Linked DNA regions of Elephas maximus indicus. Each later gene encodes a partner of the first gene's protein in a complex. Links are inferred from orthologs where the notes say so. Each region holds a gene or a part of one and is shown on either strand. Other genes may lie near its edges. The genes, in order: TAF1C, POLR1H and POLR2F.

Region 1 (3,747 bases):
CCGCCAAGGGATGGGCCCGGGACTGATCTGCAACGACGCTGCCAGGCGGGGCTTCCTGCGAACACTGTCCGCGCTGGCCGGAGAGGCCATGTCTGAACCCGAGCTCCAGAAGGCGCACTGCGCCGGATCTCGCACTGAGCGAGCACTTTAACATACACCGGCAGCTCCCGCGTGGGCAGCACGCGGTTGGCAACGCATCTCGAGCCCCGCCCCTCTGCCCAACCAATGGAAAGGCTGGTCTCCCAGCAGGGCACCACAAGCTCCGCCCCTGCCACCCAGCCAATGAGAAGGTCTGTCTCCCGGGCAGCTGTAGGAGGGTGCGCACCGTGAGCCCCTCCCCTGCCTGTCCAGCCAATGGGAAGGTTGATCTTCTGGCCGCTGCCAGGCCAATGGGACGACAGTCTTGGCTGACCTCGGAATTCTCACTTCCGGGTGGGGCCTCTGGAATGGGCTGGGGTGTGGCTCTCCCAGCAGCCCCTTCTCGACCGTTGGGTTGTCCTAGGGATCAAAGACCAGGAAAGAGCGGCTGGCGGCCTTGGGGAGTTCATCCTTACATCCTGGCTGCTACCATAAACACCCCCCCAACACACCCCACCATACCACCCCTCCGTCAGCAGCTTAACCCTTCTGAGCCAGGGGTCCTCATCTGGTAAATGAAAAACCCACTGCTATGGAGTCAACTCCGACTCAGCGACCCTATAAGACAGAGTAGAGCTGCCCCATAGGGTTTCCGAGGCTGCAAATCTTTATGGGAACAAATTGCCATGCCTTTCTCCCACGAAGTGGCTGGTGAGTTTGAACCCCTGACTTTTTGGTTACCAGTGAGCTAATGACTGTGCCGCCAGGACTCCTCTGATGACTGAAGGTGCTTATAATTGTAACAGCCCCACGGGATCATTAGATCTAAAATTTAAAACTATTGTAGGTCTTCCTTAAGCTAGGAGTCCTTGGGTGGTGCAAACAGCAAATGAGGCCCAACAGTAGGTGCACAGTAAATGTATACTGAATTAATTAAATAGAATAACCATATCAAACATGAGTTTGGTAAAGCAGATGTGGGATTCGAACGCAGTTCTGACTGGCCTTCACTATTGGAACTTCAGGGTCCCCACCTCCCACGGTACTTCCTGCGCCCCATTCCCTCTCCACCCGGGAGGTGGCGCTCACCGACGCCCGTGAGGCCGAGCTGGGAGGCGGGACTTCCTGTTACCGAGGCGGCACTTCCGGCCAGTCCCGGAAAATTATTAATTCACGCTGTGGGCGCGGTCCCGTTGAACTCCCTGGCGCGTGGGTGCAAATTTTGGGCTCTCTCGCGGGACAGGGGTCAGGAGAGCGTTGCGCAGGGGCCCATTTCCCAGACGAGTACGCCGAGGCCAGGGCACGTAAGTGCGCGCACCGCCCAGACGGGAGGAGAGAGCGCTGCCCACTGGGCGGCGGGAGACCGGGACTTGGGTCCGACAGGAGAGCTCGAATTTACCCGGCGGGCGGGCGCTCAGGCCCCAAGTTGTGTGGCTTTGGGACAAGTCACTTAACTATCTGCGGAATGGGTGATTAGCAGCTGCCGGTAGCTCACGGAGTAGTGCAGATTCTACAAATTGTTAAGTGTCGTAGCAGCTGCCTGGCGCATGTAGCACTAGATATGAGGCCTCTGCTCTTGTCGGGTTGAAAATGTGGGGCCTGGAGGTGGAGTGGGAAGAGGTCGTCGAGGAGGCTGGATTAGGGATATGCGTGAGGACATGGTCGAGTAGGAGATGCACGAGGAGAGACCGTTAGTATCCCCTTTACCATTTTCTGCGACTTTCTTGCTGTTCCCGGTCTTGGATTCAGCCAGACCTGTCCTATTTCTTCAGCCTTGGACGTAGGAAGGGCATGGAAAGCTTAGAGGGAGGGCGGGAAGCCGGCCAGGGGTGGTCGAGGCTGCTTGCCCAGGCAAGTCCTGGATTCCACCAGCGCTCTCAGTTGGCTTGGGTTTTTTGAGGCTGTTTGATTCTTTTCTCTCATTCATTCATTCCTAGATTTGTTTCTACAACTTATATGTACTGATTGTTAAACCCATTGCTGTCAAGTCGATTCTGACTCATAGTGACCCTATAGCAGAGAGTAGAACTGCCCCTATAGGGTTTCCAAGGAGTAGCTGGTGAATTTGAGCTGCCGACCTTTTGGTTAGTAGCCTAGCCTTTAACCACTCTGCCACCAGGGATACGGACTGATTATTACCAAGTGGCAAATACCAAGGCACTGAGAATATATGCACTTCATTTATCACAAGACCTATTAGAGCAGAATCAAACAGCCTCCTCCTTATGTATTTAACCACAAATTGCTGTGAATGCCCTAGAGGAAGGGTACAAGGTGTTGTGGGAGAAGGGTAGGATTGGAGAAACTGGGAGAGGATTCCCTGAGTAGGAGATCATTGACTCCAAATCTGAGTGCTGGGACTCAGTCTAAGCAGAGGAACAGTGTGCAAAGGCCCTGTGGTGAGAAGAGGCACGGTGAAGAACCAAAAGTAGATCAGCGTGGCTGGAGCCCAGGGAACGGAGAAATGAGCTGGAGACATTTTCTGTCTGCTGGGTTATGGGGGATGCAGCCACCTTGGAGAGGCTTGGGTGCCCCTTGACCTACAGAAGCTAGAGCTTCTGTAAAGATCCTGTAAAAATTCACTGAGCACCTCCTAGATCCCTTCCTCTCTCCTCTCCTACATGGGAAAGAAAATCATAGCAGCAGCCAGACATCAGGGACTCAGGAATGAATGGACACAGTTCATGTCCTCAGAAAGTTTGCAGTCTAGTGGAGAGACAAGCCAGACACATAAATCACAATTAGGATGAGGCTGATACGTGCTCTGAGAAACATTCATTTAGCTGGCAAGTATTTATATAGAACCTACTATGTGATAGGCAGTGTGTGGTGCTGAGAGTACCTGGATGTGCAGAGGTTACAGCATAAACTGATAAAACGCAATGGTGGTTCCAAGGGAAAAGATTTCTGCTTACTGGACTCTAATGTGAACGTTTGGTTTTGGATGCACAAGGATGCAGTGGTTCAGAGCACAGACTTTGACTCGCATGGGGGATCAAGCCTTGACTCTGGCACTATGAGCTGTTGACCTTGGATAAGTTACTGTCTAACATGCCTCAGTTTCCTGAACTCCACAATAGGGCCAATAGAAAGAAGTGTGAAGCTTATAATGCCATGTCTGGAGATGTGGGGCTCAGTAAGTGAGCACTGCCGTCCTTTTGCGTTTAATAAAAGAGGCAGGGGTGACCTAGCTGCTCTTCGTATTCTAGAGCACTTTGTATTCCCAAAACCCTTTGACATAAATTTATCTTTCTTCAACATAGTCAATCAGTGTGTTTTCTGGGAGGCCCTGTGCTTGACAGTGGGAAGATAGGTGGACAAGACTAAGTCCCTGGCTTTGGGGGAACTTGAGCCAAGCCTTGGGAGTTAGGGCTGCAAACTGCGTAATCATATCATAATGCAGGCTGATAAGAGCTGTGATAGAAACATCCCTCGCCGCTTGTTGGATGGGCATCCCTTAACGCTCTCCTCACGTGATCTGTTTTCACTACATGCCTCCTCGTTTCTCAAACTTGCCGAGCACTTTTCCGCCCAGGGCTTTTGCACTCGCTGTTTGTTTTCTTCGCAGTTGTCTGCGTGGCTCTTTCCCTCGTTAGATTCTAGCTTTGCTCGCCCAGCACCTCCTCAATGAGGCTGTCTTTGGTACCATTGCTAAAACCGCAGCTTCAG
Region 2 (3,747 bases), on another chromosome or scaffold:
AAATTTCCATTTGCAAAGGAGACAGACACAGAAAGGTGAGGATAAAAACTGTCTACCATTACAGGCCCAGCAACAGACCTCCCTTTGTAAGATAGGGAAAATGACATCTGGATAAGTGAAATTATAGCGTTTGTTACCCTCCGGTAAGTGGCTAAGAGTTTTTAAGCCCTTCACTATTACATATGTCTCCATTGTGGCAAAGACAGACCGGTGCCTCTCCCCAAGAGAGACCACAGCTTGTAATCTTCATGGAAGAAAATAGTGATGACTCCAAAACTTCTATACTGAAGGAGGTTAGCACAGTTACCTGAAGATGGGAGAGCTGGGCGGCAGAAGAGTCATCTAGAAGCTGCACTCTCAGGACAAGAAGTCTACTCAGATTGTAGGTTACAGACGAATGAAAATAGCAAGATTTTTCTAAAGATATTTGTCTAAAGATATCTGTTCTAAAGATCTGTGTTTTATAAAAGATTACAGAAATGTCAACGGACCACCTAATGGATGGCAATGATTTAGAGTTGGTTGGGCAGGGGCGGAAGAGGAGGGAGGGCGGTCCCCAACTGAGCCAAATTCAGCCGAAGTCTTAGTGAAATCCTATCCAACGGCTGCCCCCTTAACGGAACCTCCCTCTTGTGGCAGGCGTCTCAGGGGTAGGGCGGAGGAAGCCCCAAACCGCCTCTCTTCTACCACTTCCAAAGTCCTGAACCCTTTCCCAAACATCCCACTTTCTCTCTGCTTCCTGTTGTGCATCCTTGCTTCGCCTTCGCCACCTTCTATCCCTTAAGCCAACTACCCACTTCCAAGCGCCTCTACTCTTGCCCCTCAAGCGGCAACGTGCACTAGCACTATAACTCCCAGAATGCTTAGCTTTGTTTTGAACCACTGCGCAGCCGCAGAAAGGAGATAAGCAAACAAAAACGAAAAACACCAAACCAGCTGCCGTCGCTCCAGTTGATTCCGACTCATACGGACCCTATAGGACATAGCAGAACTACCCCATAGAGTTTCTAAGACTGCCACATCTTCCTCCCGCGGCAGCAGGGAGATACAGGCTCAGAAATGGCGACAGTTATAGTTTTCTAGTCCAAAGAAATTAGTATTCAGGGAGGTTAGTACGGTTTTGAGGGGAAGGTCCTTGTGGGTTGCAAGGCCAAGAAAATAAACATTCTAGGGTCCTGGGGGAAAAAGCCGGACCCGCAGCCAAGTTAGCCGTTTTCTATCCGACGCCACAGTACCAGGCTAAATAAATGTCGTCCCCGATTTCTCTTCGTAGACCCTCGGCTCCTTCCTAAAGGCTCTCTGGTTCCGGTTCGCAACTTCTTATGACGTCATAGCCAATCGTGAGCCGGAAAGCCTTGACGCTCTAGCCCGCCACGCTCTCGCTGCTCCGCCGCCGGCGCGGAGACAGCGTGGTAGCCTGCGGCATTGACTTGCCGCTTTCCTCTTCCGCTGGAAGGTCTGTAGGTCCGGTGATGCCCGATGAGGTTTGGGTATTCCTAACACTTCGGTTCTCTAGTCGCTGAGGCAGGAGACGTGCGTGGGATGAGGGCTTGACCTATATATACCCAAGTCCTGGGACACAATTGGAAAGCCTTCTGACTAGGGAGGTTTTAAGAAGCCTCCCTTTTGTTGATAAAGTCATCCTCCCATCCCAAGCCTCTACCATCAGTCCCGTCATGGATCTCGCTGCCACCTGCTCCACCTTCCAGTCGGACCTGGATTTCTGCCCGGACTGCGGCTCAGTACTGCCTCTGCCCGGGGTTCAGGATACGGTCACCTGCACTCGCTGTGGCTTCTCCGTCAACGTGCGGGGTGAGAAACTCGTACTCAATGGTCCCGGGAGGGCCCAAGGTGGAAGAGTCGGAGACCTGGGGACCCGAGATGGGCGGGATTGGGGAAGGGACTCTGGAGCAGGAAATCAGGCACTTGTACCTTTGGTACAGAAGGGGACACAATTGGGGATTATATGGGGCCTCTCTTCGACTTTACAAACAGTTCTTACTTCTTGTGCAGATTTTGAAGGAAAGGTTGTCAAAACTTCATTTGTGTTCCACAAACTGGGGACAGCCATGCCTATGTCGGTAGAGGAAGGGCCTGAGTTCCAGGGACCTGTGGTAAGTTAATGAAGTCAAGAACTGTCCATAGGGGGAGAGTGTGATTGCAAAGATCTGGAGGGTTTTGGACCCAGTTCCAAGAGGGAAGAGGGGTCTTTAGAGCAGATATGTCTGTGATAGCCTGATTCCTATGAGAAGTAGGGGGCTTTGATTAGGCCTCCCCTGCCTCACTAGTTCTCTTCCCAGATTGATAGACGCTGCTCCCGATGTGGTCATGAGGGAATGGCATACCATACCAGACAGATGCGCTCAGCTGATGAAGGGCAAACTGTCTTCTACACCTGTACCAACTGCAAGTAAGTATTATTTCCTCTTCCTCTGCTTTCTCAGTCTGTTTACTAACTAAAATACAGTGGCTTAAATTTTTACTAAACATTTCTTTTCTTTGATCTCATCCAACATTTCTGTACAGTTTAGGTAATAGGGAGATATGTGGCCTTTTTTTTTTTAAGTAAATTACTCTTTCTTACCCTTTTTATAGCAGTTAACTAAACTTTTAAAAAATATTTATAAGAAGATGAAAAAATACAGAAGGCAGGTATTGCTTAGTGGCCACCATGTTATGCTGGAGCCTACCACTGCAATCAAGGTACTTTTACTTTGGTGAGAATTAGTAAAGAGTGTGGACTCTGAATGGTTTTGAGAACTGGCCTTTGTCTTTGGTGTTCTGTAGTTCCATTATAATGTGTCAAGATGTGGCTATCTTTTATTAATCCTATTTGGGATTTGTTGGACTTTCCAAAACTAGGGATTGATTTTTTTTCTTAAACAACCTTATAAATGATTAACCATTATCCCATTGAATGTTGTCTTTCCCCTATGTTTAATTCTCACATTCTGGATCTCTAATTAATTGTGTAAGGAGTCCCTGGGTGGTGCAGAGGGTTAAGCACTCACCTTCTAGTTGAAAGGTTGGCTGTTCGAACCCACCCAGAGGTGCCTTGGAAGACAGGCCTAGTGACCTGCTTCTGAAACCTCATGAAGCAGTTCTACTTTGCACATGTAGGGTTGCCATGAGTTGGAATTGACTCACTGGCAAACAACAATTAGTTTTGTAGTAAACCCTCTGTTCACTATTTCTTACAACCTGTCTGTCTTAGTTATCTAGTGCTGCCAAAACAGAAATACCACAAGTGGGTGGCTTTAACAAACAAATTTTCTCAGTTTAGGAGGCTGGAAGTCTGAATTCAGGAAGCTAGACATCTGAATTCAGGGCACCAGCTCTAGGGGAAGGCTTTCTGTCTCTGTCAGCTCTGGAGGAAAGTCCTTGTCTCTTCAGCTTCTGTTCCTTGATTCTTGTGATCCTCATGTGGCATGGTATCTGTCTTCCTCCATCTGCTTGCTTGCTTAATCTGCTCTTTTATATATCAAAAGAGATTGAGTTAAGACACATCGCTATACTAATACTGCGTCATTAACATAAAACAAAGAAAAAACATTCCCAGATGGGATTATAACTGAAGGTATAGGGGTTAGGATTTACAACACATATTTTGGGAGGACACAATTCAGTCTATAATACTGTCTTTCATATTTTCCATCTTTTTTCCTCTCTATGCTGCCTTCTGGGTATTTTCTACAGGCCTCTCTTCTAAGTTACTAATTCTTTCTTCAGTTTATTTCGGTTATTATT
Region 3 (3,747 bases), on another chromosome or scaffold:
TTGTTGAGTGAATGTACGAGCAAGTATTCATTAAGCCAGGAGCTGGAGCTCCAACAGTGAGCCGAAACAGGCACGATCCCTGCCCTGATGGAGGTAATGATCTAGAGAGAGATGAACATTAATCTAACGGATACAGCTAGATATCTGACAACAGGTTGGGCTATGCACAATGAAGACAAAGGTATTTGATGATGTGAGGGCAGTAACAGGTGCTTCTGTTGTGGTGGTATTGGGGGGGGGGTTCCCTGAGGAAGTTGCAAGTGTGATCTGAAGAATGCACAGGAGTTACCTACTCAAAAATTCTTAGCTCTTTGACTTTTGGCTACCGGCTAGCTGTAGGGCAGACTTCCCATCTGTAAAATGAAAATCGCCATTACTAAGCCACAGGTCATGTAGGGGAGAACTGAGTTACAGAGGTTAACAGTTACCACCACTTGTCTCTTCGTGTCCTTCAAACACTGACCTCTGAGCAGTTCGCAGGTCCCCGGGGTGTAAGCGGCTGGCTGGGGGCAGCGCCAGAACCCCGTTCTTTTGGTTACTGCCCCCAGCCTCTCCTGGGAAGTCATGGGAGGGCCCTGAGTAGGGAAAGACACAATGAAACACATCCCCTGTCTCCTAGTCCCAGTCTCTGTTTCCTTGCCCCCAACCCCACCCAAAGTCTGGGAGAGTAGGTGGAGGATCTGGGTGGCAGGAGAATCGTGATGACTCTAGTAAATATCGCGACAGTGCCCGATCCCGACCCTGACACACACACACACACAGAGTCCTCATTGGGACCCAGCGCCTGTGGCAGGGAAGTCCCCTCGGGAGAAAGGGAGCGTTAAAATCGCCGTGGTCACGGCAGTACCCATGGGGTGATGTGCCAGTTGAAATCTCACCCTAAAGGAAGACGTGTCTGGGTGCCCCCTCCCTGCGGAGAGCGGCGGGTAAGCTCCCGGAGACGGACACCACGACTCTGCAGGAGCACCCGACGCAGAAGCCCCCCAGAAATATTTTGCGATCTCTGCGACTGGAGCCGGCACCTAGCGGCTCTGGCTACCATGGTAACGTGCGTAAGCCATTCGGCGCATGAGCATTGACTCACTGGCCAGCCTCCCGGAAGTGATTGCCTCTGGGTCACGGCGCAGGCGCAGGGTACGGGTGGCCGCGCGAGGCCGAGGCGCGCTGCTTGTGTGTTCTTGTGCGGCCGTGGAGTGCAGAGCGGGGTCTGTGCAGCGGTGACGTTATGTCAGACAACGAGGACAAGTGAGTGCAGGAGCGGAGTGGCCTTTGCGGGAACCTAGGGAGGGACGGAAGCGAAGGCATGGGTCGGAAGAGACTGAGAAGTCTGGGGGCTAGGGGCAGTGTCCGAGGGGACGGGGATACTGGGGGCCTGGGGACTAGGGGCAGTGTCTGAAGGGACGGGGATACTGGGGGCCTGAGGACTAGGGGCAGTGTCCGAGGGGATAGGGATACTGGGGCCCTGGGGGCTAGGGGCAGTGTCCGAGGGGACGGGGATACTGGGGGCCTGGGGACTAGGGGCAGTGTCCGAGGGGACGGGGATACTGGGGCCCTGGGGACTAGGGGCAGTGTCCAAGGGGACGGGGATACTGGGTCCCTGGGGACTAGGGGCAATGTCCGAGGGGATGGGGATACTGGGACCCTGGGGGCTAGGGGCAGTGTCCGAGGGGACGGGGATACTGGGTCCCTGGGGGCTAGGGGCAGTGTCCGAGGGAACGGGGATACTGGGGTCCTGGGGGCTAGGGGCAGTGTCCGAGGGGACGGGGATACTGGGGGTTAGGGGCAGTGTCCGAGGGGACGGGGATACTGGGGCCCTGGGGACTAGGGGCAGTGTCCAAGGGGACGGGGATACTGGGTCCCTGGGGGCTAGGGGCAGTGTCCGAGGGGACGGGGATACTGGGGCCCTGGGGGCTAGGGGCAGTGTCCGAGGGGATGGGGATATTGGGGTCCTGGGGGCTAGGGACAGTGTTTGAGGGGACAGGGATACTGGGGGCTTGAGTTGGAAGAGACTGAGGAGCTAGGGTCTAGGGACAGTGTCTGAGGGGACAGGGGATACTGAGGGATTGGCAGAGCTGCAGAAGGGAAGGGCCGAAAACCAGGAGCACAGACCAGGCCGGAGGGTAGACACAGAAAGGCCCAGGCTTGGGGGACCTTATTCAGTGAATAAGGTGTCTTTCAACAGACTGCCACTGAGTTGGGCTCTGTGCCTTGTACTGGGAATATGAGGTGAATTAGGCACAGTCCCTGTCTGCAGGCGACTACTTTCTAGGAGATGAAACTGGCCCATGAAGAGATAATATGGGGTAGCAGTAGAAGTATGTAGCAGGGAATAATCCGGAGGGGCGAGGCTGGTGAGACCTCACAGAGGTGGTGAAGGGCTATGAAATGTGACTAAGAATTGGCCTGGTGGACAAGGCAGAGAGCCTTGCAAGTAGAGAAAACAATGTATCCTAAAGAACAGAGACATGACAAGGTGTGATGTGGGGGGAATTTGGGAAACCAGCTTGTGTTCTGAAAGCAAAACATGTCAGGAAGGGGCAGCTGAGAGACAATAAAGACCAGATGATTGAGGGCGGTTGTGCCTTTTTAAAGACTTTATTCTTGATCCTTGAGGTGAAGGGGACATTGAGTTGTTTTAAGCAGTGGGGCGACACAGTTAGGTTTTCTTTTTAGAAGAGATACTTTGCATACATTGTGATGAGTGGATTTGGAGAGTCGGATTGGAAAAGAAAGACCAGTTAGGAAGTTGTTGCAAAATTATAAACTGGGAAAGGATGGAGACCTGAATTTAGATTATGACCATGGAATAGGGAGGAGGGTGCAGAGAGATTTTAGGAGATGGAGTTGACAGGACTTGGTGATAGGATGTGGGTGCAAAGGAGAGATGGAGGTTGAGCATTTTCTAGCTTGAGGAACTGGGGTGGTTCTTCCAGCCATGATAGAGAACCTGGAAGAAAGAGCGGATTGTTATTATCTTCTTTGGGTGTGGTAGGATGATCCCAAGATCAAGAATAGTGGTGAAGAGGGCAGATGTGAGAGACTGAGGTCACGAAGTCTGTTTTATCCATGTCATATTGAATTTGACTGAATTGGGTTATTTATTAAACAAATATTTATGTGTCAGGCTCTATTCCAGAAGCTTGGAATGAATTGGGGAAGGGGTGGGCGAAGCACGGTGGTAACAGGCTAAGTAAGTAAATGTGTGTTAGGAGGTGGAAAGTAGTATGGTAAAAATAGAGAGCTGGGGGCAGGACTGTAGGTTTCAGTTTTAAATAGGAAAGTTACTAGAGAGAAGGCTTTGTGGAGATGATGTCATTTGAACAAAGAGTTGAAGGAGGTGAAGGTGTTAGCCACTGGGCAGATGGGACAGCTAGAGCAAAGGCTCTAAGGTAGGAGTATGCCTGGAGTGTGTGCAGAACAGTCAGGAGGCCAACAGTGTGGCTCCTGCAAGGGGAGGGTGGTAGAGGATGAGGTCAGGGAAGTGATAGGAGGCCAAATTATATAAGCTTGTGGACCACTGTTAGGACTTGGCTTTAACTCTGATTGAAATGGGGAGCCATCAAAAAGTTGTGACCAGAGAAGTGATAGGATTTTAGGTTTCATAAGGATCACTCTGGCTACTGTGTTGGTAATAGACTGTAGGGAGTCAAAGATAGAAGCAGGGAGTTTAGTTGGGAAGTTATTGCAGTAATCTAGGTGAGAAAAGGTAGTAGCTTGAACTGGGGTGATAGTAGAGGTGGTGAGAAG

The links.
Region 2: TAF1C (region 1) and POLR1H share a complex: the UniProt entries of both Homo sapiens proteins name them as parts of the pol I pre-initiation complex. The link is inferred for Elephas maximus indicus from reciprocal best matches to the Homo sapiens genes TAF1C and POLR1H.
Region 3: TAF1C (region 1) and POLR2F share a complex: the UniProt entries of both Homo sapiens proteins name them as parts of the pol I pre-initiation complex. The link is inferred for Elephas maximus indicus from reciprocal best matches to the Homo sapiens genes TAF1C and POLR2F.

What each region holds. Positions count from the first base shown.
Region 1 is NC_064839.1:50,142,188-50,145,934, reverse strand, and holds the start of TAF1C (TATA box-binding protein-associated factor RNA polymerase I subunit C), read left to right. Parts: upstream 1-1,240; 5' UTR 1,241-1,382; intron 1,383-3,747. UniProt on the Homo sapiens protein: Component of the transcription factor SL1/TIF-IB complex, which is involved in the assembly of the PIC (pre-initiation complex) during RNA polymerase I-dependent transcription.
Region 2 is NC_064819.1:89,721,845-89,725,591, forward strand, and holds the start of POLR1H (DNA-directed RNA polymerase I subunit RPA12), read left to right. Parts: upstream 1-1,389; 5' UTR 1,390-1,456; exon of another isoform or gene 1,457-1,656; 5' UTR 1,657-1,676; coding exon 1,677-1,812; intron 1,813-2,013; coding exon 2,014-2,114; intron 2,115-2,300; coding exon 2,301-2,410; intron 2,411-3,747. Other genes in the region: putative uncharacterized protein ZNRD1-AS1, read right to left, coding at 308-342. UniProt on the Homo sapiens protein: Core component of RNA polymerase I (Pol I), a DNA-dependent RNA polymerase which synthesizes ribosomal RNA precursors using the four ribonucleoside triphosphates as substrates. Can mediate Pol I proofreading of the nascent RNA transcript.
Region 3 is NC_064822.1:181,850,735-181,854,481, forward strand, and holds the start of POLR2F (DNA-directed RNA polymerases I, II, and III subunit RPABC2), read left to right. Parts: upstream 1-1,108; 5' UTR 1,109-1,225; coding exon 1,226-1,245; intron 1,246-3,747. Other genes in the region: C4H22orf23 (UPF0193 protein EVG1), read right to left, coding at 464-566. UniProt on the Homo sapiens protein: DNA-dependent RNA polymerase catalyzes the transcription of DNA into RNA using the four ribonucleoside triphosphates as substrates.